Cricetulus griseus: one gene and its partners. The protein of the gene in region 2 interacts with the protein of the main gene of each other region in a pairwise test. Links are inferred from orthologs where the notes say so. Each region holds a gene or a part of one and is shown on either strand. Other genes may lie near its edges.

Region 1 (4,571 bases), on a different chromosome or scaffold from region 2:
CTGGTTTGGCTCAAAGTGGCCTCTCATTTCCCTGAGGTCACTGGTTTCATTGGTACATTTTGATCCTCCCCTTGGGGAGAGGTAACAGGAGGTTCGGGGAAGGAGGTAAAAGATACCGTTGACTTAAACTTGGAAGGATGTTTGGCCATAAAAATAAAACCGTGGGGCTAGAAAGGCAGCCTACTCAGTAAAGTGTTTGCATTTTAATCCTGAAGTCCCAACTTCAACCCCCAGAACATACTAAAGAAAAGCTGCAGAGGGTGATGTGTTCTCTCAGTGCTATACAGGCAGAGCCAAGCGGATCCCTGGCCAGCCAGCCTATTCTGCTTGGCAAGTTACAGGCCAGTAAGAGATCTTGCTCATCCTGATCCCTATGCCCAAAAGAGTCCAAAGGATAGTGAGATGACTCAGTGGGAACAGTGCCTAATGTCAAGTCTGAGAATCTGAATCTGACCCCTGGAACCCGCATGGTGGAAGTAGAGAACTGATTCCTGCAAGTTCTCCCCTGACCTCCGCACAAGCGTTGTGGAATGGGTGTGCCCTCTGTTCCCTCAATAAATAAGCAAAATATTAAAAAAGAAAAGGTGGACAGTTCCTGAGGAATGACACTCAATGTTGTTCTCTGGCCTCCATATACACTTAAACACACAGGCACGAGGATACACACACACACACACACACACACACACACACACACACACACACACACACACGTGCAAGTCCAAATGGCTTTGGGAAGAGACTCCTCTACTTTGATAAGAGTCTAACCCGTGTCAGGGTTAGGTAAGTTGCCAGAGGAGCGGCTAAGAAGACTAAGAAAGCAGGAAGTATGTGGGATACTTCCCCACACTTCCAGAATCTAATCCTCCTATCCATCCTAATGAACAAAAAAACGTTCTCCTTTCTGCAGATCCTGGTCCAAAGGCACTATCAGTCAGTTGCAGTTATTCTGTGTATTGGGATCTCCAGGGAACTTTAAAAAAAATTAGCTGACTCTGGGTGCTCCCTTAGAGACACTGGTTTAATTAGTCCAGGCTGGCAACAGTACTTTTCAAAGCTGCCAAGTTATTAAATACAGCCAGAGTTAAGAACTAACTACTGTGGTAGATAGGAAAAGGAGATATGGAGCTAGAAGGAGTTCAATAAGTCACCTTCAGAACTAGTGTTCCATAAATGTGCCACACCGTCAGGTGGGTCCTGAGTAGCATTTGTTTTGATAACATGTGGGCAACACTTCTATGCATATGTTTCCATATACACATGTGTGTATACATATATATATGTATATATATACATATATGCCATGTATATGTATACATACAAGTTAATTGTATAAATATATTTGAATAACTATTAGAAATGTATAACCAACATATCAAATTTGAGATGCAATGTATATTACTGCTGAGGATGAAGCTAAGTTCTAGCCAAAGGTTAGGCAGCAACTCTACCACGGAGGGCAGCTTTTCAAGCGTTCTTGGGATTTGAACACAGGTCCTCACAATTTTGCAACAAGTCCTTTACTCATTGATCCTTTGTCCTGGCCCCTGAAAATGATAAATTTTGGTGTTAATGTTTTCAGCCTGAGCTAAAAGGCTTGGTTTTGCAAGATCAACTTTGTATTAAACTTAGGCAAATATATGGTAAATATGTAACAGGGAAGGATAGCTTGGGCCAACACCGAGGGGCTGGCAAGTTAGGAGCTCAGTGGTAGACCACACCTATCTCAAGACTAATATATATAGCATCACTGTCTCATTCCTATGCCGCTGTACTGGGCTTAAACCCGAACCCACACCAGGGTCTTCTAGACTCACAGTCAGTCTGATCCCAGCTGCCACCGCCTCTGCTTTCCGATTCAAATCGGAGCTAAACCTAAGGTGGCTTGGCTACCAAAGCATAGTGGGGCAGAAAACCAAGGCTCCCACGGTTTTCAGCTCCACAGCACAAAAGGGAAGCCAGAGTGACCCAGATCCAGGTTATGCAAACTCACAGGAGGATGAGTGACATGAAAACCCTAAAGGGAGCAAACAAAACCCGCCTGCAGGAAAGGCCCTGCCTTGCTAACATTTCTTTCTATTTGACATTCTCCGGGCATGATGCAACCCCAGTTGCCCAATTTATATTTACACATCCCCCTTGTCCACAAGGAGCTTCGAAAGCTCCCAACTGTACAGCATTCCTTGCCCAAGTTCAAGTGTCTAGTTCCACAAGGTTGCAGGGCGGGCCTGTGACTTCAACTTTCCTAGGTACAAGCGAGGTGCTCCGAGGAGGTTTGGAATTCTCAGGTAAACTGAAAATGGACAAGGGGCAAAGGCGAGAGTTGGAGCTGACAGCCCCACGTCTGTCTTCCACTTTTCCCCACGGTTGGTTCTCACGGCCTCTTGATTACACACTGCCAACGGCACCTACAATCTCACCGTCCTCCCTGCCCCGTTCTTCCCCAATCCAAAGGGCACTGACGATGGCAAGGGTGAGTGGGGTGAAAACCATACCCAGGCTTCAGCCTCCTCCTGCTCCTCCTTTTCCCTGGCGCCTTCCGCCCCGGCTTTCCACATCCTACCAGCTTCCTGGCCACCCAGTCATCGGTACACCTTTGCACCACCCAACAAAATGGCAGGTTAGCGACAGGAGGGGCCGAGGGCGCCAGTTCCTCCACCAGGCAAGCGTAGACCCTGTCCAAAGCCCAGTCCCCGCGACTCCTCCAAGCGCTAACACCCCTCTCCTGCCCAAGTCCCTAATCTTGGGCCCTTTGCCTGCTCGCACTCTAGGGGACATTTCCATTCCAGGCCGGCGAGCAGGTGGCCGCGTAACAGGTGCCAAGCAAAAAGGCCCGGACACAGAGTGGAGGGGACCCCGAGACCGTGGGCAGGAAAAGGCCACTTCCAGGAGAAGGTGATCGCCGGGGGGACCAGACCGGGCTGGGGGCAAGGATGCTGCCTTGCCTGTCCCTGCTCCCCGGGGCTCGATCGTCGCCTACGCTGCTACCCTACTCACAATCTCCAGGCAGACGAAAGCTCCCGAGTAGGTCCGCAGGATGTCGGGGCCCACGGGCAGGGTGACCCGGGGCGCCGGGAAGGACACAGCGGGGTTCGGGGGCGGCGGGACTGCCGCTCCGCCGGCCGACATGCTGCCGCTGCTACGTCTCCGCGCACAGCCGCCACCGCCTCCCGCGTCCGCCTCCGCCTCCCTCCCGGGCTTGCCGCCGCCGCCGCGCCGCCGCGCGCCGCCGCCGCCGATCCGGTCCGCGGGGTCCGGGCGTGCCGCTCGCCGAGAGGGCGTGGCCAAGGGCCCTCTACACAGAGCCCCGCCCCGTCACGTGGGCGCAGGTGAGCACGTCCCCGCCCCGGCGCCCGCAGGGGTCACCCGTACAGGTGCGCGGTGCGCTCCGGCTACAGGGCCACCAGCTCGCCCAGGCTCTCGCGATCACCTGCTGCCCCTGCGCTAAATGTCCCGCGGGTCCCACCTCTCCATCCCACCCCACTCTCACCCGGGCCTCACCCTCTGTCCCCAGTTGGGCAGGAAGACAGAGACTGTGACTCAGAAAGCAAACGCCAGTCGCCAGGCACACCTGGAAAGCGGGATGCCTGTTTTAAAGGGGACTGTAATGGAATTTTCAAAGATGTCACCAGGGTCGTGTGGCACTTGGGAGTCGATGGCTGGCCGTAGGTCCCCGGAGGGCTGCTTTGAGGTTTCCTACTCTGTTCCGGGAAATCCCTATGAGGATATCCGCCAGTGAGGGACAGAAAAGTTCAGTGCCCAGGAAGCGCTCTGTAAACTGTAGCTTTTAGGACGGCAGCTACTTTTCCAATCCCGAGATCTGTATCATTGCTCTGTCTACAAACGATGTCAGCCGCATCACGTTTCCACACAGACCCTTTTCATTTAGCCCTCACACATGTACTCTTTGACACTGTCTTTTAACACTCAGCAGACCAAAAAAAAAAAAAAAAAAAAAAAAAAAAGGATGCTATGTATGAGTCCCTTGCCTCAGTTTACCTCGTGCGTTCCCATTGTAGTCTTGGTTTCAGTGTTAATGTCTGTAAGTGGGACAAAGGAAGGGGCATTTCTCAAAGGTCATCTGAAGATAAGTTAAATGACTCACATCAGCACACAAGTAGATCCAGTGGAAAAAACAATAGCTAACCCTGGCATGGCAGCACAAGCCTGGAATAGCAGCGTTTCATAGGATGAGGCCAGAGGATTGCCCTGAATTTGAAACCAGAAGGCTGCAAAACCGGTAATAGGACATCTAGGGATACCTAGGGAGACCCAGTCAAGCAACAAGGACACACACACACACACACACACACACACACACACACACACACACACACACACACACACACACTATCAGACAGTCTCCAAACTGAGTCTGCGAGTTGCTCCCTGCCTGGGCTGTCAGCAGGTTTTACCCTACGTCTTTATTGTTTTAATGAGCGAAACTCATAGGTGTGGTGGTGGTGGCACCAGAGGAAAAGCCACAAAGCAGGGTGTGGATGAAATCCTTTATACGTACCTCCTGTCACCTAGGGAGGTGATACCTGTTACTCACCACTTCCTGGCATTTT
Region 2 (4,492 bases):
TGACCAGTGTGTTGATGCTAGAGACAAAGAAGTTCACAGCCCCTAGTAGCGTCTCCCCATTCTTGCACAGCAGCTTCTGCGTCTCTGCATTATAGCCAAATTCCTCCTATGGGCAGAAGGGAGGCACAGGCCTTGAGTAAGAGTCCTTACCTGACTGGAGCTGCAGAGCCCTTTATTTCCTTCTGTCCCAAAGAAGAAACAGCCATCAAAACTAAAACAACCAGACTGCCTCTAGCAAGGCTCTCTTAGCCACAAAGTTAGTAGGGTCGCCTAGGGGATGCCTGGGGTAGGAATGTGGGAGTAGAGTCTTAGGTAAGTTTAGAAGACAGGAACAGGGAAAGCTAGTGCAGCAGGCAGGGGAGGGACTCTGATTAGGCCAAGCACCAAAGGCATTCTTGATGATATGGAGAAGGGTTACTTGTGAGGCACCAGAGCGCCCTCTCCCACAACCCCTCCAACTTTTGGACCTCTGTACAAACCCTTAGGCTGCCTCCATAGGTGAGTGATGCTGGGGGCAGGACTGGGCACACCCCAGAGGGGTTCTCCCTGGGGGCTGCAGGAGGGAGGGAGGGAGGCTGAGGAATGCCTGCCTGGAAGGGCCAGGGCCCAGTACCCCCACCCTCTTTGTTTTGGCTGAGGCACCTGAAGCTCTGGGGACTTCTGGCTGAGGTCAGCAAAGGCATCCCCTAGTGCATGCTGGGTCTGCAACAGGCTGTAGAGGTGGGCTGTCAGTGCCCGGCCCAGCTGAAGGACACTTTCATACTTGCGCTTCGTCTCACGCAGCAACTCAATCTGCAGCTCTAGCTCCAGATCCACAGTCCGGGAGCCTCGGCCAAATCTCTCTGATAACAGCTGCTTTGTGCACTGATTGGGAAGTGGGTGGGAGGTCAGAAATCTAAACTCCACCCCAACCCCGACAAGTAACTACTCCAACACCCCCATTCTCTTAGTCATAGCAAAAGACTATGTATTAAGATCTGGGGAAAAGGAAAAGGTACCCATGGAGAGTTTCTGGGAAGAGGCACTCGACTCTTACCTTATATGTGTTGATGCCCCATTTCTTGACGATGTCAAACTTCTCTCCGGCGATGCCCCGGGCCACCTCATCACCAGGGCCAGAAGGTGAGGTGCTGTGAGATGGATGGCGGCCAGACCCTAAAGGATCAAGTTCTCTAACACCAATTTCTCTCACATACAATCAGATACTTCTGTGACCTCACTTCCTTCCCTCCCAGCACATGAAATGACCTCTCTAAAAGAGGAAATCTAGATAACTGAATTCTTCTGCTCATTAGGGGGAACGGGGACTTAGGTCCCGAAAACCAAAGCAACTCAATGTATGTATTTGGCATTCCTGGGGTCGTGTAGGAGTGTTGTTGGGTGGACAGGGAAGGAAGAAACAGAAGCAAACATGATGAGTGGGACTGGAAGGGTCAAAGCTGGTGGGCACAGAAAACAGGGAAGCTGGTTTGTATTTCCAAGTAGAATTTTAGTCAGTATAAGACTCTTATAAAACTCTGAGAAGCTTCACAAAGTTGTAAATCAGCCTTAAGCTGCAGAGCTCTTGTGACTTATAGGTCTTAACTTGGCTCAGGTGGTGGCACCAGGGAAAGAAAAGACAATTGAGAAAGCTAGAATCTAAATGGCAAGTGGGAAGCAGATGATGAGCTCAGAGAGCTGATCTGGGATTGGACAGTCTATGGATTTCACACTAGCAGTTCTCAAGTTTCTCCAATCCATGATTCACGCTTTCCTATGTGTTCTATGTGCCTCCTAGTCTCCCTCCCACTCAAGCCTCCTGTCTCTTATCATTCATACCTGTGGGGATGAGTCCATCACCAGAGCCCCCATAGCCACCAGACACAATGCTAGTTTCATTGAGGTTGGGTCCTGACACCATCACCTGCTGGAGGTCCTATAGATCAGAGAAGAGGGGGCACTTCAGGAACATGGGGGTGGCTGAAATATTTTGGGGATAGAGACAGTATATAGTAAAGTCTGTATAGAATCATAATGACGACTTGAAAACTATAAGGAGGACTAACTAAATGAAGTCTATTGGGATGGGAAAAGCGAAACATTCAAGAGTCAGGATTGCTAAATTGAAACAATTAGAAGAATCAAACAGAAGCACCTGCTCCAGCCCATCGTCTTCAGGAAGCTGCCCAGCTTCACCATTTCCATGGATTGGGATCTCCATTGTGGCTGCCTTCCCTAGGATCCCGTCCGTCATGGCTAGGGAAGGTACTGGAGTCAAGGTCTCCACCCCAGCACGCTGTAAAGCCCAACACAGACAATTCTGGAAACTGGCCAGCACTCCAGAACAAGGAGGCCTTCCCTGTGTTCTAATAGGTTTCAGGGGTTGTCTGTTAGGACTTGGGTGTCCCTGGAGATCAGCCCCTACTTTCCTGGAGATGTGTATTTCTTCTCTTCCAAGTACATTATTTCTACAGATGCATGTATACCAAAGCCTTGGGTGTCTTCTCACAAACCCCAACCTCACCTTTAGTAACCTTTACACATTCAGTCACTCAACAAACACTTAGTGAGTGCCTACTATGCGTCAGATACTGAGGCAATGGGATTACAGCAGTGAGGGCCAGAGGGGAATGTCTGTGCTCTTTGGGAACTTGGCCCTGCATAGGCATGTTTACCAGAAGGCAAAACCCTTTCCTAGACTCGGATGCTCACTTGCCACTCAAGCATGCTCTGCAATCCCTGGTCTTTCAAATCCTTTGATGTTCCTTCCCCTCTTCCTTCAAATGGTCTCTCCTTTCTCCATCTCATGCACCTGCCTCCCTCAGGCCCTCCCCACCAGGCCTTAGTTGAAGCAGCTGGTGTGTTCCCGGTGTCAGTTAAAAGCTTCTTTCCCAGGACACAGGCAGTCCCTTCCAAAGTCAGTTTATGCCTTCCAGATGTGAGAGGTCCCCTCCACCACCCCCCCACACACCTGGGCATCAGGTGTGTCCTCATCCTTGCCAAGGGCTCAGGGCATCTTGCCCTCCGCACAGGTTCGTGCATTCAACTTCCTTTCGTACAAGTATGTCCTTCTCACCTGGGCCGGGCCACTCTTCCCCTCAGGGCGCGAGGGCCGGACCGCGCGGGGACCTCGGGTTCCAGTTCCCGTCGCGATCTTAGCAGCAGGTCAGAGATTCGGCGGAAGTGACGTGCCCTCTGGGCAGAAGAAGCCGGCCACGTCGCAGAGCAAAAGGGCGGAGGTGACGTTAGCAGACATGGGCTGGGCGATACTGGAACCACGCCTTGAAGCTCTTGGTGACTAGGGAGAATTTACTTCCGGGGTGACTCCGCGCCCCCAGGGAGGAAGTAAAGTGGGCTGCGTGCCCCGAGCGTGATGGAGCAGCAGCAGCAGCAACTAAGAAACGTGAGTAAGAGCTAAGTTGTTCTCGGGGTTAGACGTGCGGTTTGTTTTCTGGGGTACATGCAAGAACCCCCAGTGGGGAAGGCAGGCTGCACTGCGCACGCCAGGAACCCTCAGCGGTGGTGAAGCCTTGATCCGCTTTTCTCTTAGTTGCGAGATTTCCTGTTGGTCTACAATCGGATGACAGAACTGTGCTTCCAGCGCTGTGTGCCCAGCCTGCACCACCGAGCTCTGGACGCTGAGGAGGTGGGGACTGTGGGGACCCCAGAGGTTGACAACGTGACGTGTCCACCTCCCACCCCCCGTTTGCATCTCGGTCTCCCATGACCTCACCCCTAGGCTGGGGCCCCGGAGAGGAGGGCTTGACAGGACCCCTTTTGGTCTCTGCTTACCTCTGTCTTCCTTCCAGGAGGCCTGTCTACACAGCTGTGCTGGGAAGCTCATCCATTCTAACCACCGCCTCATGGCCGCTTACGTCCACCTCATGCCCGCCCTTGTCCAGCGCCGCATCGCGGACTACGAGGCTGCCTCGGCCGTGCCAGGTGTTACTGCAGAACAACCCAGAGACTCGCCATCAGGCAGCTAGCCATCGCCTGCCCCAGGAGAGAAGGTGCTTGGATGGGCTCCTCTATGAACCTTGGGCTTGTCGAAATTTGTACAGAAAGATTGAGCCTGAAAGCTGGGCACTATTGCTCCTTTTCTTGGAGCCAATAAACCGGGTTTTTACTCTGGTTGATTTTCTGGGCAGGAATTTATTTATGTCCACTTATTGGTACCAACCTTTATTCTGCCATTTAGTGCCTATCTTCTCCCCTCAGCCCTGGCAGTTGAGAAATTGCCTTCTGTAATGTAGTAGGACAAACTCAGCATTCTCAGATCCCCAGCAAAAACATAGTTTTAAGGTTAGTAATAGCAATGGGAAATTGGTTCCAAAAGGGGAGCTCTCAGTGGCTATCCTTGAGCCTAACTCAAATGCCTGAATATATATTGCATAATAACTAGTTTTCTTCTGAGCTGTAATACAAAAAGAATTGTGCTGCATCTAGGGGAAGAATGTGATATCAGACAACAAGAGGAAGAAGAAAACAGCACCACAATAGGCTTTAGCCACCA
Region 3 (4,600 bases), on a different chromosome or scaffold from region 2:
TGGGCTATATAAAACCCAACTAAAGCAAAACCAGAAGAAGGAAGCTATCAAAACTATGGGTCTTGAAGGGTTCCCACTGGCTAAAAACAAAACAATTTGAGGTATCAAAAAAATTGCAGTATGTTCTAACAGTTTAAACACATTAAAGTCTAATGGTTTGTTTTTAAAGGCAAAGCCCTCAGGTTAACTCAGGAGGTTGCTAGGCCACAGTTTTAAACATATTAAAGTCTATCTGTTGGTTTTAAAGGTAAAGCCTTCAGGTTACCTTTGAAGGTTGCCAGGCCACCAAGTCATTGCTGTAGTCTGAAAAGAAAGGAACAGAGTTAAGCATTTTTCTTGCCATTCCTGTCCCAACTGTATTTCAGGGCAGTCAGACAGTTATGGGAGGCAAGTTCTTCAGCAAAGTGCCAGACAAGACACAATTAGAAACCACCACTCTGTGGCTGTGGTGCAGTAACAGACCCAGGCACTGCTAGCCATGAAAGAAAGGTATCCCTATTAACTGAAAGGCTCTTGAACAATTTCATGGTGGGTCAGCTGAACTGATAGCACAGGAACCACTCTACACAGCTCAACTGTAACATCCCAGATAGGATGACTCAGACATTAAATGTCACCCTGATAATGAATGCAACAGATAATTTTCATAATATAGAACCTACACCTATGGCTTTTTTTCTTGCACTTCCTATCAAAAAAAAAAAAAAAAAAGTTGAATCTAACACTTCTGATCACTGTATTTCAACAGAACTTTCTGTGATTATGGAAACATTTTTATCTGTATTACTCAAGCAGCAGCCACTAGGCAACCTGTGACTGCTGGGTGTTTCAAAGGTGACTAATGCAACTGGGGAACCAATTATTTATTTCATTTAAAACAGCACGGCTATCTGATGACGACCATACTGGACAGTGTAACTCAGGATTCAGCCAGTGGAGTAGAGGTCATAGGTGAAGTAGAGACGAGTGTTCAAAACTACACACAACCAGCTAATTTTTAAATGGTAAAGAGGAATGGGAGGTTAAGAAGCAGCTATTGCTAGAGGATTTAAATGCCTGGCAAACCAATGAAGCAGACAGTTCTCTGCAGAATTTTGATCCAAACAAGGTATTGCAAGCACATGTGGAGTAGCTGGAGAAACCTGATCCCACTGGATACTGACATTGTGTATTTTTTTTACAAATTTGTACTGCTATAAAAGTAGTACTATGGTTTTATAAAAGCAAATCTAGCCCTTGGCATGGGAAGCATCTTAGCTATGACAGCCATGGGGTGGGGAGCATATTAGCTATGACAGTTTGGACTAATGCTGTCACTGTCAGCTCATACACAGTAGGTGAGAGCAGAAAGGCTAAGTAACGGTCCTCTACTGCTCCATGGGAGGAAGCAACATTGTCATAATTAATAATATCTATATTGTCCTTAAAACTTCAGTATTCGGGCTGGAGAGATGGCTCAGCAGTTAAGAGCACCGACTGCTCTTCCAGAGGACCTGAGTTCAATTCCCAGCAACCACATGGTGGCTCACAACCATCTGTTATGAGATCTGGTGCCCTCTTCTGGTGTGCAGATATACATGGAAGCAGAATGTTGTATACATAATAAAATCTTTAAAAAAAAAAAAAAAAACTTCAGTATGCACACATTTTAAATGGCTGTGTATGTGAGTTTGTAAATCTCTAACCCATTTAACCCATTTTAGTTTTACAGCCTCCTTTACTGATCAATAAAAGACAAAGAACATGGGACAAAAATTAACCTAAAGATGGTGCTGAATTCCAAATAAGAAAACTTGTTTTGTTATACATTAAGCTACAGACTTTAACAGTAAGTGTAGCTTGTCATGGTGGTGCATGCCTTTAATCCCAGCACTCGGGAGGCAGACGCAGGTGGATCTGAGTTCGAGGCCAGCCTGGTCTGTAAGGCGAGTTCCAGGACAGCTAGGGCTATTACACACACACACACACACACACACACACACACACACACACACACACCATGAAGAGTAGGTGTAAATAGCTAAAGATAATTTATATTCATTGATCCTTTACTTAAATACAAAATATAAACTAAATACAAAATTAAAACTAAATGTAGGTATACGAGAAGTTGAGCGCCTACCCTGCTTTGCTAAATAAATTTTTAAAAATCTAAATTAGCCTCAAGAAAGACAGCTTAGAAAAGCCAGTCGAGGTGGCACCAGGTCCTTAACCCAGGAGGCAGAGGCAGGCCCATTTCTGCGAGTTTGAGGACAGTCTGTTCTACATAGTGAGTTCCTGGCCAGTCAGGGTTTTTCTCCCCTCCTCCCCCTCCCTCCCCAGGTTTTCTCTGCGTTACTTTGTAGCAGCCCTGGCTGTCCCGGAACTCGCTTTGTAGACCAGGCTGGCCTCGAACTCACAGTGATCTACCTGCCTCTGCCTCCCAAATGCTGGGATTAAAGGCGTGCTCAGTCGGGGCTTCATAGTAAGACCCTGACTTGGAGGGAGAGCAGACGCTGAGTAGGGAGGGTGTATTTTGGGGCAAGGGTAAAGTCTACCAATGAGACAACAGCCTGCTCTAACTGCGCGATTTTGTTACAGGGCAAAAGCCCTATTTGCAATCCAGATTCGCTGCCAAGCGTCTCCGTGGTTCAAGCGTTATGGAACTGCCCTTTCCAAACTTCCACTCTCCCAATCTGGTTCCCGATGCTTGACTTCTTTAAGCATGAGGCCATCTGCGATTCCCGCCACGCTTCCGCTCCTCTCCTACTAACATCACCAGGGTTTCCCGCTGAGCCGCTGACCCTAAAGCCCGCAGCCCGCCCGCCCGCCCGCACGCCCGCCTCCGCCGAGGCCGCAGCACCTGGCTGGCCGGCACCGAGCTGCACATGGAGTAGTCGGAGAGACCCACGGGTGCGGTGCCCGGGCAGCCGCAGGCAAACAGTAGAGGGTCCGGCTGCATGTGGGAATCGACGGACAGCGGCCGCGGGCCATGCGGCCGGGAAACTAGCGGCACCACGGTGGCCAGGGCCGCGTCCGCACCACAACAAGCCGCGGCTCGCCGGTCTTTGGGGCACGCAGGCGGTTACAGAGCGCGTCCCCGGCGGAGCGCGTCCCCGGCGGAGCGCGCACCCGGGGCCTGCTCGCCGTTCCTCGGGGGCGCGCGCGCCCAACAATTGACGTTCGTCCCCCCCCGTCCCCGCCCCCTCCCCTCCCAGCAGCGATGGACTCACCACATACGGGGTATGCGGGCGCCGCGGGTCACGTGGCCGGGAGAAAGGGCGGGGCCGGGAGGAAGCCGATTCGCGCGCTGTGGGTAAGGGGTTTTTTTTTTTTGTTTTTTTTTCCTTCCTTCCCGCGCCGGCGGCCCGGGTTTCGCAGAGTGTCCCCGCGTTCGCACCAGGCTCCGGGCGTCCAGTGCTTCCAGAAGTGCAGGCAGGTGCTGACCTTCAGAGCCACTTTCTTATTGCACGCCGTGCGGAGCGGAAGGATGCCCGCTTGGCGACGCTCCACCTCCCCTTTCCACTTCCGCATATGCTATCTCCAGCCTTCGGGCCGGAAGCTGCGGCGGCGGCGGCGACCGTCTCTGCGTCTCGTGACTCGGGATGGTGGCCCGTGAGGACCAAATTTAGTGTCTGCGCCGTGCTTTTAGCTTAGAAATACATTCACAAAGCTGTCGATTTCGAAAATGCATAAGACGTACGCGTCTAATAGCTAGAAGGAGATGTCTGGACAGTGCCATAAGCTCCCCTGTTGTCACGCACTGTCCCCAGAGATCTAGGGGACTGGTGAAGAGAAGGGCCTGGGGTCTAAAGGAGACAACCTGAGAGTTGAGAGTTGTGTTGGGCGTGAGGATTGCGCTAGAAAAGAGAAGAGTACGCGTGTAAAAATATATATTTAAGTAACCCGGAGAAGTTATAATATGCGGTAAGGGATTGGAGCAGTGGCCGTAGCTTGGGCATCGCCTGTGCTTGCTTCTTTGTTTATGTAAAGGGAGAACCCGAGTGCCCCACCCAAAGATCTGTCATCCGCGTTGGGTTTGGAAGGATGGCCAAACATTACCGATGAAGACGTGCAGGAGGTGGATGAAAAGCATGCCGGGTTGCAAGCGTATAGAAGAGGGACATGTTGCAAAATGTTGAGGCCGACTTGTGGAAAGATCGGGAATCATTGGTACAGCTGTTACACATTACCACTGGAGACAGAAGTACCCTACCCGTCAGTCACAAAGCCGACCTAACTTCTCATAGATTAGTTAAGGCAAACAGCAAGCGTTGGAGGACAGAAAACCTGTATAGACCTGAGAAAATCAGTGGGAGAAGTGTCAAAGGTAGCCCAAGACATAGCTCCAAGAACAAAGGAGTGACAAGAAAGTTAGAAAACTTGTGGGATTCTGGAAGTGTGGCTGGAACTGACAGGAAGGATTAGTTTTACGTTTCTGCAGCTAGCTCTGCATTATCCACTGGCTAGAGGCAGTTAAATCTAAGTGTAAAAAAAAAAAAAAAAAAGATAAGCAGTCACCTGGTTCCTAGGTGGCAGGAGGTACTGGCCACCTTTTGCTTCATTGTGTGTGCATGACTTGATGGTAGTGAAGTTTGTGCCTAGAGGTGGAGTGAGGGGT
Region 4 (4,745 bases), on a different chromosome or scaffold from region 2:
GCAGTTCTCCTTTTAACCCAGTTCAGATAACAGGAAAGTTTTCTATATCTTGCTTGGGTGGGTGGTGTGGGTGTCAGGGTGACATAGTCTTGGTAATCCCCTTTCCAGGTGGGCCGTCCTGTGTTCATGGTGTCACCCCTTTGAGTCTTCATTTCGTTCCTTCTGAAACTTGGGTCCCAGTTGTGCTCTGTGTCATGGGATTAGAGGGGATTGTGGGTACAGAAGTACTTTGTCAGTCATGAACGTATGGGGCAGAAGCAGAGGATTATCCTGTTACAGCAAAAAGAAGGGTCATCCGATGGCTAGCTGGAGCTGACGAGCCTGAGAGTGTTCCAAGTCCGAGGGAAGCGTTTTTTCCTGGAGGGGGTCTCAGGAGGTGCAGGTGCCAGACCTGCAGCTATCACCCTGCCTCAGATGGATAATGGGGAGTCAGGAGAGGCAGAATGGGAATCTTGAGTCTCAGCATGTCCCATAAAGTGAGTGTCCTATACACAAAGAGGCTGAGCCTTGAAAACTGACGAGTACAGATCTTCACAGGAGTCATTCATAGAAATGGGGTTTAAACACAGGCCCAAGGAACGCTGGAGCCCTATTCACTTTCTCGTATTGTAGCTCTCCATTAGAAGCCCTCCTGTGGATTCTCTCCAGTCTGGGTGGCACTGCCCACAGTGCCATTGTCTTAGAGAAATAGGGCTGTTAGAGCTGGTGGCAGAAGACCCTGTCCTTTTTGGCCTCAGTATTGCAGTGACTGATTCCTTGGCCTCTGAGCTCTGATGTGTTCCACCTGCTTGCCAGCCCCCCTTCCTGCCTCCGCCTTCCTCCCTGTACTTAGGCACGCAGAGCAGAGCCTCTAGCTCAGCCCCTCCCCAGCTGGCAGCAGCTGACAAGGCAAATGGGGGTTAATCTGGCCCCTGCTAAGCAGCGACATGTCTCTTGCTGAAGAAGGCGGGGGACTTTCTGGAACTCGCCTGGGTCTTATCTGCAGAGGTTTGCCCCAACGCGTCTTGGGAGCAAGCAGAGGTTCAGTGACATGTGCAGTTGGCTGGTGACAGGACCATCAATCAGACTCCTGTCAGCCTGAGCCTTCTGGGCTTTTGTGAACTAGCCAGGACCCTGGGCTGGGGGGGGAACTGAAGAGGTAGGAGGGACTTCTGGAATTGGGGTGGTGGGAGGGCTGTGAGAGGAGAGAGCATGCCCAGGTATCAGGGATGGGAGAGAGGGACAGGCACCGGCTTTTTTGGTCAACTCGTTTGGAAGTTGACTTGAGACCCTATTAGCCTGCACTGTGGTCACCTGTGTTCTCATTCCCGGGGACTTCCATGTCCCGAAGGCTATGTATAGGGCGTTTGAGTAGGTAGTACAGAGCAGTGGTGGGAGAAACTGAAAGCAGGAAGCTTTCTACCTGGGGTGAGGCTCACATGCCAGCAGTGGGCTGGGGTGGGAGGCAGAGCTGGCCTGGCTGCTCTAACGGGATGGGACATGAGGGAACTTGGGTGCTATGCTGAGGGTTTGCTCTTGTGGCTCTCTTCTCCTTCCTGGAGTGAGAAATGAACCTGTAATCCAAGTGTTAAAACCATGGCCTAGAGCAAAACCCCATTAATTCTGAATCATCTCTCTTGTTGCATTAAGAAAAAAAAAAAAGAAAAGAAAAACTCACCACAAGCGAGCCCTGTGGAGGTGTGCAGGCAGCTGTATTTGTCTGGAAGGCAGAGGAGTTGGCTCCACTCAGGGGGAGGAGGCAAGGCCCCCACCCCCTTGAAACAGTATATAAGGAATCCCAGGCTAGGGGCGACAGCACTGCAGCCTGGTTTCAGCCCAGCTCAGAAGCTCCTGCTAGAGTCCCTCCTGCTTGAAAAGGACACGAAGGCTCAGGCTGCCTGACCATGGCCACCACATTCTTGCAAACTTCTTCCACCTTTGGAGGTGGCTCTACCCGAGGGGGTTCCCTCCGTGCTGGTGGAGGCGGCTTTGGTGGAGGGAGTCTCTACGGGGGAGGTGGGAGCCGAAGCATCTCTGCTTCTTCTGCTAGGTTCGTCTCCTCGGGGGCAGGAGGGGGATATGGGGGCGGTATGAGTTGTGGTTTTGGTGGTGGTGCTGGTAGCGGTTTTGGTGGAGCCTTTGGTGGGGGTTTTGGTGGTGGCTTTGGTGACTTTGGTGGTGGCGATGGAGGTCTCCTCTCTGGCAATGAGAAGATCACCATGCAGAACCTCAATGACCGCCTGGCCTCCTACCTGGACAAAGTACGTGCCCTGGAGCAGGCTAACACGGAGCTGGAGGTGAAAATCCGAGACTGGTACCAGAAGCAGAGCCCAGCCAGTCCGGAGCGAGACTACAGCCATTACTTTAAGACCATGGAAGAGATCCGGGACAAAGTAAGTCCTCATATATATGTCAGACAGAGGGAAACAGGCAGTAGGTGCCCTGTACACATATGCAACAGCAACATTGCTGTTGACTAAGAGAGTCCTTCCCTGCTGTGTAACCTGGCAAGGCTGGGATGCACCTGCTTCCCAGGCACATGTGGGAACACACGTGTTCCACTTGGCAGTGCTGGGGGAGGGGAGGGAGTGGTCTTGGGAATCTGATTTGGATACACAGGATTGCAAATGAGGGCAACAAAAGAGAGCAGCTCCTTCTCCCTGCCTCACAAAAACTTTCAGGGATTTTTGCAACTGATTGCTTTAACTTTGTGACCCGTGTGCTGTTCAGGCACAACCTCAAGAGTCCTAAATGCCAGGGCTGTTTACTTCAGGCCTCAAGGATGTCTTTATTGTTGATCATTGCTAGATCTTAGGAGACCAGGGAACTCAGTGGAGGCTGTGCCACCCCCTCACTTTCCCTTTTAACTAACTGGATCTGTTTTCCTTAGTGGCAAACACGTTCCTTAGCTGCTGTCCAAGTTCCCAATGACTGCAATGTTTTGGAGATGAAGGGCTCTGTCAAGGCACGCAGGAGGCAGCCACTGTGAGCTGTGCCCAAGTAGGCTGGTATAGTGTGTCTCCCGAGAGTCCTGACCTGACAGAGCCAACTGTATCCATTGCAGCACGGTCTTGACTAGCCATGCCCCCAGGCAATCCCAGGCAATACTGCCTCGTTAGTTTTCCATTCCTTGAAGATGCCACAGGGAAGGGAGCATGGGCCAGCACAACTGATGCACACAGGAAGAGAAGCTGGGCAGTAGTTGGCGAAGGGGGTCGTGCAGCAGCCCTAAGGTACAACTCTGTCTCCTGCAGATACTGGCGGCCACCATTGACAACTCGCGTGTCATCTTGGAGATTGACAATGCCAGGCTGGCAGCGGATGACTTCAGGCTCAAGTGTGTTCCCATTTCTCCACCCCTGTCCATTTCACCCCCTCTACCTAGCCTTCCTCCTCTATGACTCAGAACCTGGGCCCCTCACCTTTCCTGACTTTGGCTCCTCTCCCCTCCCCAGGTATGAGAACGAGCTGGCCCTGCGCCAGAGTGTGGAGGCCGACATCAACGGGCTGCGCAGGGTGCTAGACGAGCTGACCCTGGCCAGGACCGACCTGGAGATGCAGATTGAGCACTTGAATGAGGAGCTGGCCTACCTGAAGAAGAATCACGAGGAGGTAACAGCAAGACAGGGTGGTAGGAAGAAGCCCAGGACAGCCAGTCTTTTGTCACAGTCCTCTGAGGGCTTGGGGATTAAGAAATGTACCTGGGGGGCCCCATGGAAGAGAAGGGGCACTAATCTCTGGTAATCTGGACCCAAGGCCAAGCCATGTGTGAACTGCAGAATTGGTTTGCTTCATGGGCTTATTATCTCAAGGTCCTTGTTTCTTAGGACCCAGAGCAAGAGAGATCCTCAGAACTGAGGGGTCCATGTGTTCCAATGGGGAATAGAGATAGGGTGGTGTGATGTGCTAAGGTCACATTGTGAGTTAGAGACAGTCAGAGTTAGCCCTCAGGACTCTCGATTCTTTGTCTGCTTTATAGCCTTGTCTCTAAATGGTTGTCACTCCCACCCCTTGCAGGAGATGAAAGAGTTCAGCAGTCAGCTGGCGGGCCAGGTCAATGTGGAGATGGACGCTGCACCTGGGGTGGACTTGACCCGCATGCTGGCCGAGATGAGGGAACAATATGAGGCCATTGCGGAGAAAAACCGTCGGGATGCAGAGGCCTGGTTCTTCAGTAAGGTGGGCCTGACACCCCCAGCTCTGCTCTCTCCCTCCTTCCCACTCCAGAGGCCTCTGAGGAGGCCCATGAGGCTCATGTTTCTCATGTGTGACTTGCAGACGGAAGAGCTGAACAAGGAGGTAGCTTCCAACACAGAAATGATCCAGTCCAGCAAGACGGAGATCACAGACCTGAGGCGCACCATGCAGGGGCTGGAGATCGAGCTGCAGTCCCAGCTCAGCATGGTACGGTCACTCTCTCCCTACTGGGTGACACATGGCCAGTAAAGCCTCACCTCACACATTCCTGTCACCTCAGGCAGTCCTTACCACCCTTCCTGCTCTTCTCCCTCCAGTGGGTTGCCTTCTAGCCCAATGGGTTTATGCATCTGTCACCCCACCAGAAAGCCGGGCTGGAGAACTCTCTGGCAGAGGTGGAGTGCCGCTATGCCACACAGCTGCAGCAGATCCAGGGGCTTATTAGCAGCCTGGAGAGCCAGCTGAGCGAGCTCCGCTGTGAGATGGAAGCTCAGAACCAGGAATATAACATGCTGCTGGACATCAAGACTCGGCTGGAGCAGGAGATCGCCACTTACCGCAACCTGCTT
Region 5 (4,641 bases), on a different chromosome or scaffold from region 2:
CTGGGGAGCGGGGATTAAATGTGCATGCAGGTGGATGCAGGTTAAAGAGGAAGAGACTAAGCCTTGGTCACCTGGAGCTGGAGTTAAGAGAGACTTATAAAAATGCCCAATGTGGGTGCTAGGTAGGAACAATTGCTGAACCATCTCTCTAGCCCTTAAAAGAGTAATTACACTTTCATTTAGTGTACATGTGGGCAGGTGCACACCATATTACACATGTGGAGGTAAAGAACAACTTCTGAACAGTGATTCTCTTTCCAACTTACTCAAACTCAGGCCTTCAGGCGAGGCTTCAAGTAACCTTACCTGCAAGTCAGTGGTTCTCACCCTTCCTAACACTGAGACTCTAATACAGCTCCTCATATTGTGGGGATCCCCCAACTATAAATTATTTTCCTTGCTATGTCAGAACTGTAATTTTGCTACTGCTACGAACTGCAATGTAAATATCTGTTTTCTGATAGTCTTATGAAATCCTAAAAAGTCTCAACTGGAAGGTGGAGAACCACTGTGTTAAGCCTACGCTCCCACTGGTCCCTGAAGCCTTCATTTTGTTTGTTTGGGTTTTTTGTTTTGTTTTAAGGTAAGGTCTCAGTGCCTGAAGAAATGGCTCAGTGGTTAAGAGCACTGGCTGTTCTTCTGGAGGACTCAGGTTCAATTCCCAGCATCCTCATGGCAGCTCCCAACTGTCTGTAACTCCAGTTCCAAAACACCAATGCACATAAAATAAAAATAATTAAAAAATAAAACTGCCTCCCAAGTGCTGGGGTTAAAGGTATGAGCCATCACCACCCGGCAACAAACCTAATTTTAAAGAAGTTTCTTGTTCTCAATAGAGATTGCTCTGTCCTTTAATCCCACTTCCTCTCTTCATAAATACTGAAATGGGAGCAGATAAACGCACACTAAAATATCACCCTTAACACCTGATAAGATAGACAATTGCTTGTCTATCTCTAAATATGTCAGGTTTTTTTATTTTGTTTTGTTGGCGACAGTCTTGCTACATAACCCAGACTGGCCTAAACCTCTATCCTCCTGCTGCATCTCCTAGTGCCGAGATCTCCTCCGTCCCTTTTCCTGAAACTATAGCTAGAAACCTTGCTGATTGCTATACACTCCCATCCCTTTGTTCATCTTACAAAAGAAAGACTCTTGAGTTCAAACCCAGCACGTCTCAAAATAGCCAGTAGGGGTCTGTTGTGGGGACCCACACTGTAACCTCAACACTCAAGAGACAGAGGCAGCAGCTGTAAGTTTGAGGCCATCAAGGGGACTACCCAGAGATATCTTGTCTCAAAGAAAAAAGAAAAGAAGGGAGGGAGGGGAAGAGAGAAAGAAAGGAAGGAAAATTGACTGTGCAAGATGGCAAGACATTGAATGTGATACAAATGGGAGCCTTCCTTTTCCAGCTGCCTCCAAGGTCAATGATTCATTCTGTGCAAAAATGAACGAGTGATTCGAGCCTTTCTTAAAACGGGCTTTAACAATTTATTTAAACAGGACACAAAAGACCACCACCTCTGGCCACCGCCCATCCTGACACTACCCCCAAACAGGCCTAAGACAAAATGGCAGCAAAGACAGTCTCCATCTACCTGACTGGGGACAGATGCAGGTATGCAGAGACTAGATTCTATCCTGTTGCAATGAGTCAAGCAATCAGACTCCGGCAGCAGATCTCCTCCCAATAAAACTTTCATGCCATAGACCAAGGGTGACCCAATCCAGCGTCCGTAGAGATAGGTTTTACATTACCTTTCTCCTCACCCTCATGACCTTACTATTTTCTTCTCATTCCTGACCACATTCTCCTCCATCAGGCCCAGAGACCAGCAGTAACAGAACTCCCAAAACGAACAAGTCTCTCCAAAAGAGAGTCCACCACTTAACTAATCAAGTGGGGCTGCGTTTTAATGGGGGAACTTTACCTCCCCACCTCCCCCTTCCTTCAAAGGACTGGCGTAAGCAAGGGCTTCATTTTCTGTTCCGGGAATCCTGGTACTTCCTAGAGAAAGAAAGCGGATTGGAAGACACAAACTCAGGGCCAGTGACAAGATGCTCCCTCCTCCGATGAGACCGCCCCCGCTACGCCTGGGGGAGGAAGGCCCCACCTCTATCCTCCAAGCTAGCTCAGGTCCCCCTCCCCCTTCTCCAGCCTCCTCTCTCCACCCTCTCCCCACCTGCTGCCCTCTTCCCAACCTGCCCTTCCCAACACCCCAAAGCAGGGCGCAACCTCCATGAAAACGGTGGGCAGCGGTGCCCCACCAGCAGGCCCTGATACCAAACCCCGGCTCCCATGCCTCACGACGGGCGAGGGAGAATATAACCACAGCGAGGCTTTTCTTTGGTCCCCCCACAGCTCAGGCGGGGGAGAGAGGGGGAAAAAAGAAAAGAAAAGAAAAAAAAAAAAAAGGGCAGCATTCCTCATAGCCCTTCAACAGAAGGAAAAGATCCAAACAGCCACACCGCCCCCGCATCACCTCCCACCGGTCAACTCGCCTCCCCCTCAAGCTCGAAAGCTCCACCTCTGCAGCCCAGGTCGCCCCCTCCTCGGGCGAGGCGGAGGACGGAGCCCGCGTGCGCCCCCCCCGCCCCCACCCCGGCTCGGCGTCCTTCAGCTGCGGGGGCAGGAGCGGGGCTGGGGACCACCGCCCCCCGCCCCTCGCCCGGCAGGAGGGGCCTCGGGCTCCTCGGCTCGCAACCCGACCCAGCCAGCCTCTTCTCCCCTGCCCCGGACCCGCCTTCCCTCTCCAGCTCCGAACCTGTTCCTGCGCCCAGCGCCGCGGCTGCCACCGCCACCTCCGCCCCCGCAGGCTCCGCTTGGCTCTCGGGCCGCTGCCTCCCGCTTCCCCGAGCCGACCGTGGCGGCGACGCTGGTCCGCTGGCCCGCTCCCCGGCTCCCCTCCTTCCTTCCCTCCACCTAGCACCGGAAGCCGCGACGGCGACAGGAGATGTGCGGCGAGCCCCCACCCCCAGTCCGGGATACTTCCCACCTCCACGATCGCGCGAGAAGTGCGCGGTAGCGAGCGGCAGTTCTCGCGAGACCCATCACCATGGCAGCGGCTGCAGCAAAAAGCGGTCGGGTGCTGAAGCAGAGCCTGGTGTGGGGGCTGGAAAAGGCTGAGTGTGGAGATGAGGCTGTGGTGTGGGGACCGAGGTGCGGCTCCCAAGCTCCGGGGCCTGGCCTAGAATTGAGGACTGAGACCACATTCGGGCCGCGCTAGAGGCCCGACCTGAACAAGGGAGTGTCTGGGGTTTCTCAGGCTGAGCCAGCGGTGGAGTGTGGATGCGAAAACCTTTGTTGACACCTGCCCCTACTCCGGTCTTTATTTCTAATAAACACGCAGCACCCCACCTGCTGCTGCTGCTGCTCACTGATCCCTAAGGATGGTTTCTCTGAGGTCTGAATCGGGAGATCGTTTCTCATAATGGAAGAGGGGAGAGATTAATGCATTTGAGATACTGGAGGAAACGTCTGGAATCTGGGTCGTCTAGGAAGTTGAAAGACGAAGGGCAGAAATGTTAATTACCCAGAAGCAGGTCTGATGAAGTCTCTTTGGATGAGTAGCCGAGGACAAAGCACCCATGGTCCCTCCTTCCTTCCTTTAGACTCATTTTTCTTTTAAACGTGATGGAGACGCTGCTTGAGACTGGTTAGAAGCTATATTGGAAGCTGCACTAGAGGGGCCCTCACTAGTAAAACTGAACACCGCGTTCTTTTTTTTTTTAATTTTATTTATTTATTTTGTATACTGTGTTCTGTCTGCATATATGCCTGAAGGCAAGAAGAGGGTGCCGGATCTCATTACAGATGGTTGTGAGCCACCATGTGGTTGCTGGGAATTGAACTCAAGACCTCTGGAAGGACAGCCAGCGCTCTTAACCGCTGAGCCATTTCTCCAGCCCCCACCACATTCTTTAAATGCATGTCATATATGGAAAAACAGCTTTTCCCTAGAACCTGACCCAAAATTATTGCTCTTATCTTCTTCTGAGAAATAGGCTGGCCAAGTGGTGGTGGCACACACCTTTGATCACCGCACTCGGGAGGCAGAAGCAGACAGATCTCTGAGTTCGAGGCCAGTCTGGTCTACAGAAAGAGATCCAGGACAACAAAAAACTACACAGAGAAACCCTGTCTCAAAACACACACACACACACACACCCTGAGCAAATTGAGAACATGGGGAGAGGGGGGAGGAAGCTACGAGAGTGAGAAGGGAAGAAAAGGAAGGATACAGAGGTCATGAGGAAGCAGAAAGGTTGAGTCAGGTATAGATTAGAAGAAAGGACATATGATAGGTAGGATTTTAGTTGGGGGGGTGGTAGGGGAGAAAGGGAGGGAGAAGGGAACTGAGATTGTCATGTAATTCAATCTTGTTTGTAATTCAAATATATAAAAAATAAAAAAAGACTGAAAAAAGAAACACACACACACAAACACACCAAAAACAAAACAAAAAAAACCACAAGCTAGAGAGTCATTACAAGAAGAGGGAACCTCCATTAAGAAAATGATTCCATCAGATTGGCCTATAAGCAAGCCTGTGGACTGATTTTCTTTGACTGATGTGAGAGGGCCTTGCTCACTGTGAGAGGTACCACCCCTGAGCAGGTGGTTCTGTGTTGCATGAGAAA

Evidence for each region.
Region 1: the proteins of Arfip2 (region 2) and Mal2 interact in binary tests that used the Homo sapiens proteins (3 or more experiments, as listed by UniProt). The two-hybrid records come from large-scale screens. The link is inferred for Cricetulus griseus from reciprocal best matches to the Homo sapiens genes ARFIP2 and MAL2.
Region 3: the proteins of Arfip2 (region 2) and Cep63 interact in binary tests that used the Homo sapiens proteins (3 or more experiments, as listed by UniProt). The link is inferred for Cricetulus griseus from reciprocal best matches to the Homo sapiens genes ARFIP2 and CEP63.
Region 4: the proteins of Arfip2 (region 2) and Krt15 interact in binary tests that used the Homo sapiens proteins (3 or more experiments, as listed by UniProt). The two-hybrid records come from large-scale screens. The link is inferred for Cricetulus griseus from reciprocal best matches to the Homo sapiens genes ARFIP2 and KRT15.
Region 5: the proteins of Arfip2 (region 2) and Arf3 interact in a two-hybrid assay, tested with the Homo sapiens proteins (2 studies listed by BioGRID and IntAct). The link is inferred for Cricetulus griseus from reciprocal best matches to the Homo sapiens genes ARFIP2 and ARF3.

Annotation. Positions count from the first base shown.
Region 1 is NC_048603.1:797,450-802,020, forward strand, and holds the start of Mal2 (protein MAL2), read right to left. Parts: upstream 3,130-4,571; coding exon 2,998-3,129; intron 1-2,997. UniProt on the Homo sapiens protein: Member of the machinery of polarized transport. Required for the indirect transcytotic route at the step of the egress of the transcytosing cargo from perinuclear endosomes in order for it to travel to the apical surface via a raft-dependent pathway.
Region 2 is NC_048596.1:94,063,313-94,067,804, reverse strand, and holds the start of Arfip2 (arfaptin-2), read right to left. Parts: upstream 3,206-4,492; 5' UTR 3,056-3,205; exon of another isoform or gene 2,951-3,055; intron 2,276-2,950; 5' UTR 2,234-2,275; coding exon 2,135-2,233; intron 1,916-2,134; coding exon 1,819-1,915; intron 1,156-1,818; coding exon 1,037-1,155; intron 865-1,036; coding exon 643-864; intron 107-642; coding exon 1-106. Other genes in the region: Timm10b (mitochondrial import inner membrane translocase subunit Tim10 B), read left to right, coding at 3,353-3,382, 3,530-3,625, 3,789-3,965. UniProt on the Homo sapiens protein: Plays a role in constitutive metalloproteinase (MMP) secretion from the trans Golgi network. May have important functions during vesicle biogenesis at certain cargo subdomains, which could be predominantly utilized by secreted MMPs, such as MMP7 and MMP2.
Region 3 is NC_048597.1:210,865,348-210,869,947, forward strand, and holds the start of Cep63 (centrosomal protein of 63 kDa), read right to left. Parts: upstream 3,099-4,600; 5' UTR 2,974-3,098; coding exon of another isoform or gene 2,942-2,973; coding exon 2,843-2,941; intron 305-2,842; coding exon of another isoform or gene 304-304; coding exon 266-303; intron 1-265. UniProt on the Homo sapiens protein: Required for normal spindle assembly.
Region 4 is NC_048600.1:112,451,615-112,456,359, forward strand, and holds the start of Krt15 (keratin, type I cytoskeletal 15), read left to right. Parts: upstream 1-1,883; coding exon 1,884-2,372; intron 2,373-3,233; coding exon 3,234-3,316; intron 3,317-3,434; coding exon 3,435-3,591; intron 3,592-3,996; coding exon 3,997-4,158; intron 4,159-4,257; coding exon 4,258-4,383; intron 4,384-4,541; coding exon 4,542-4,745.
Region 5 is NC_048595.1:395,234,864-395,239,504, forward strand, and holds the start of Arf3 (ADP-ribosylation factor 3), read right to left. Parts: upstream 2,957-4,641; 5' UTR 2,766-2,956; intron 2,009-2,765; 5' UTR 1,932-2,008; intron 1-1,931.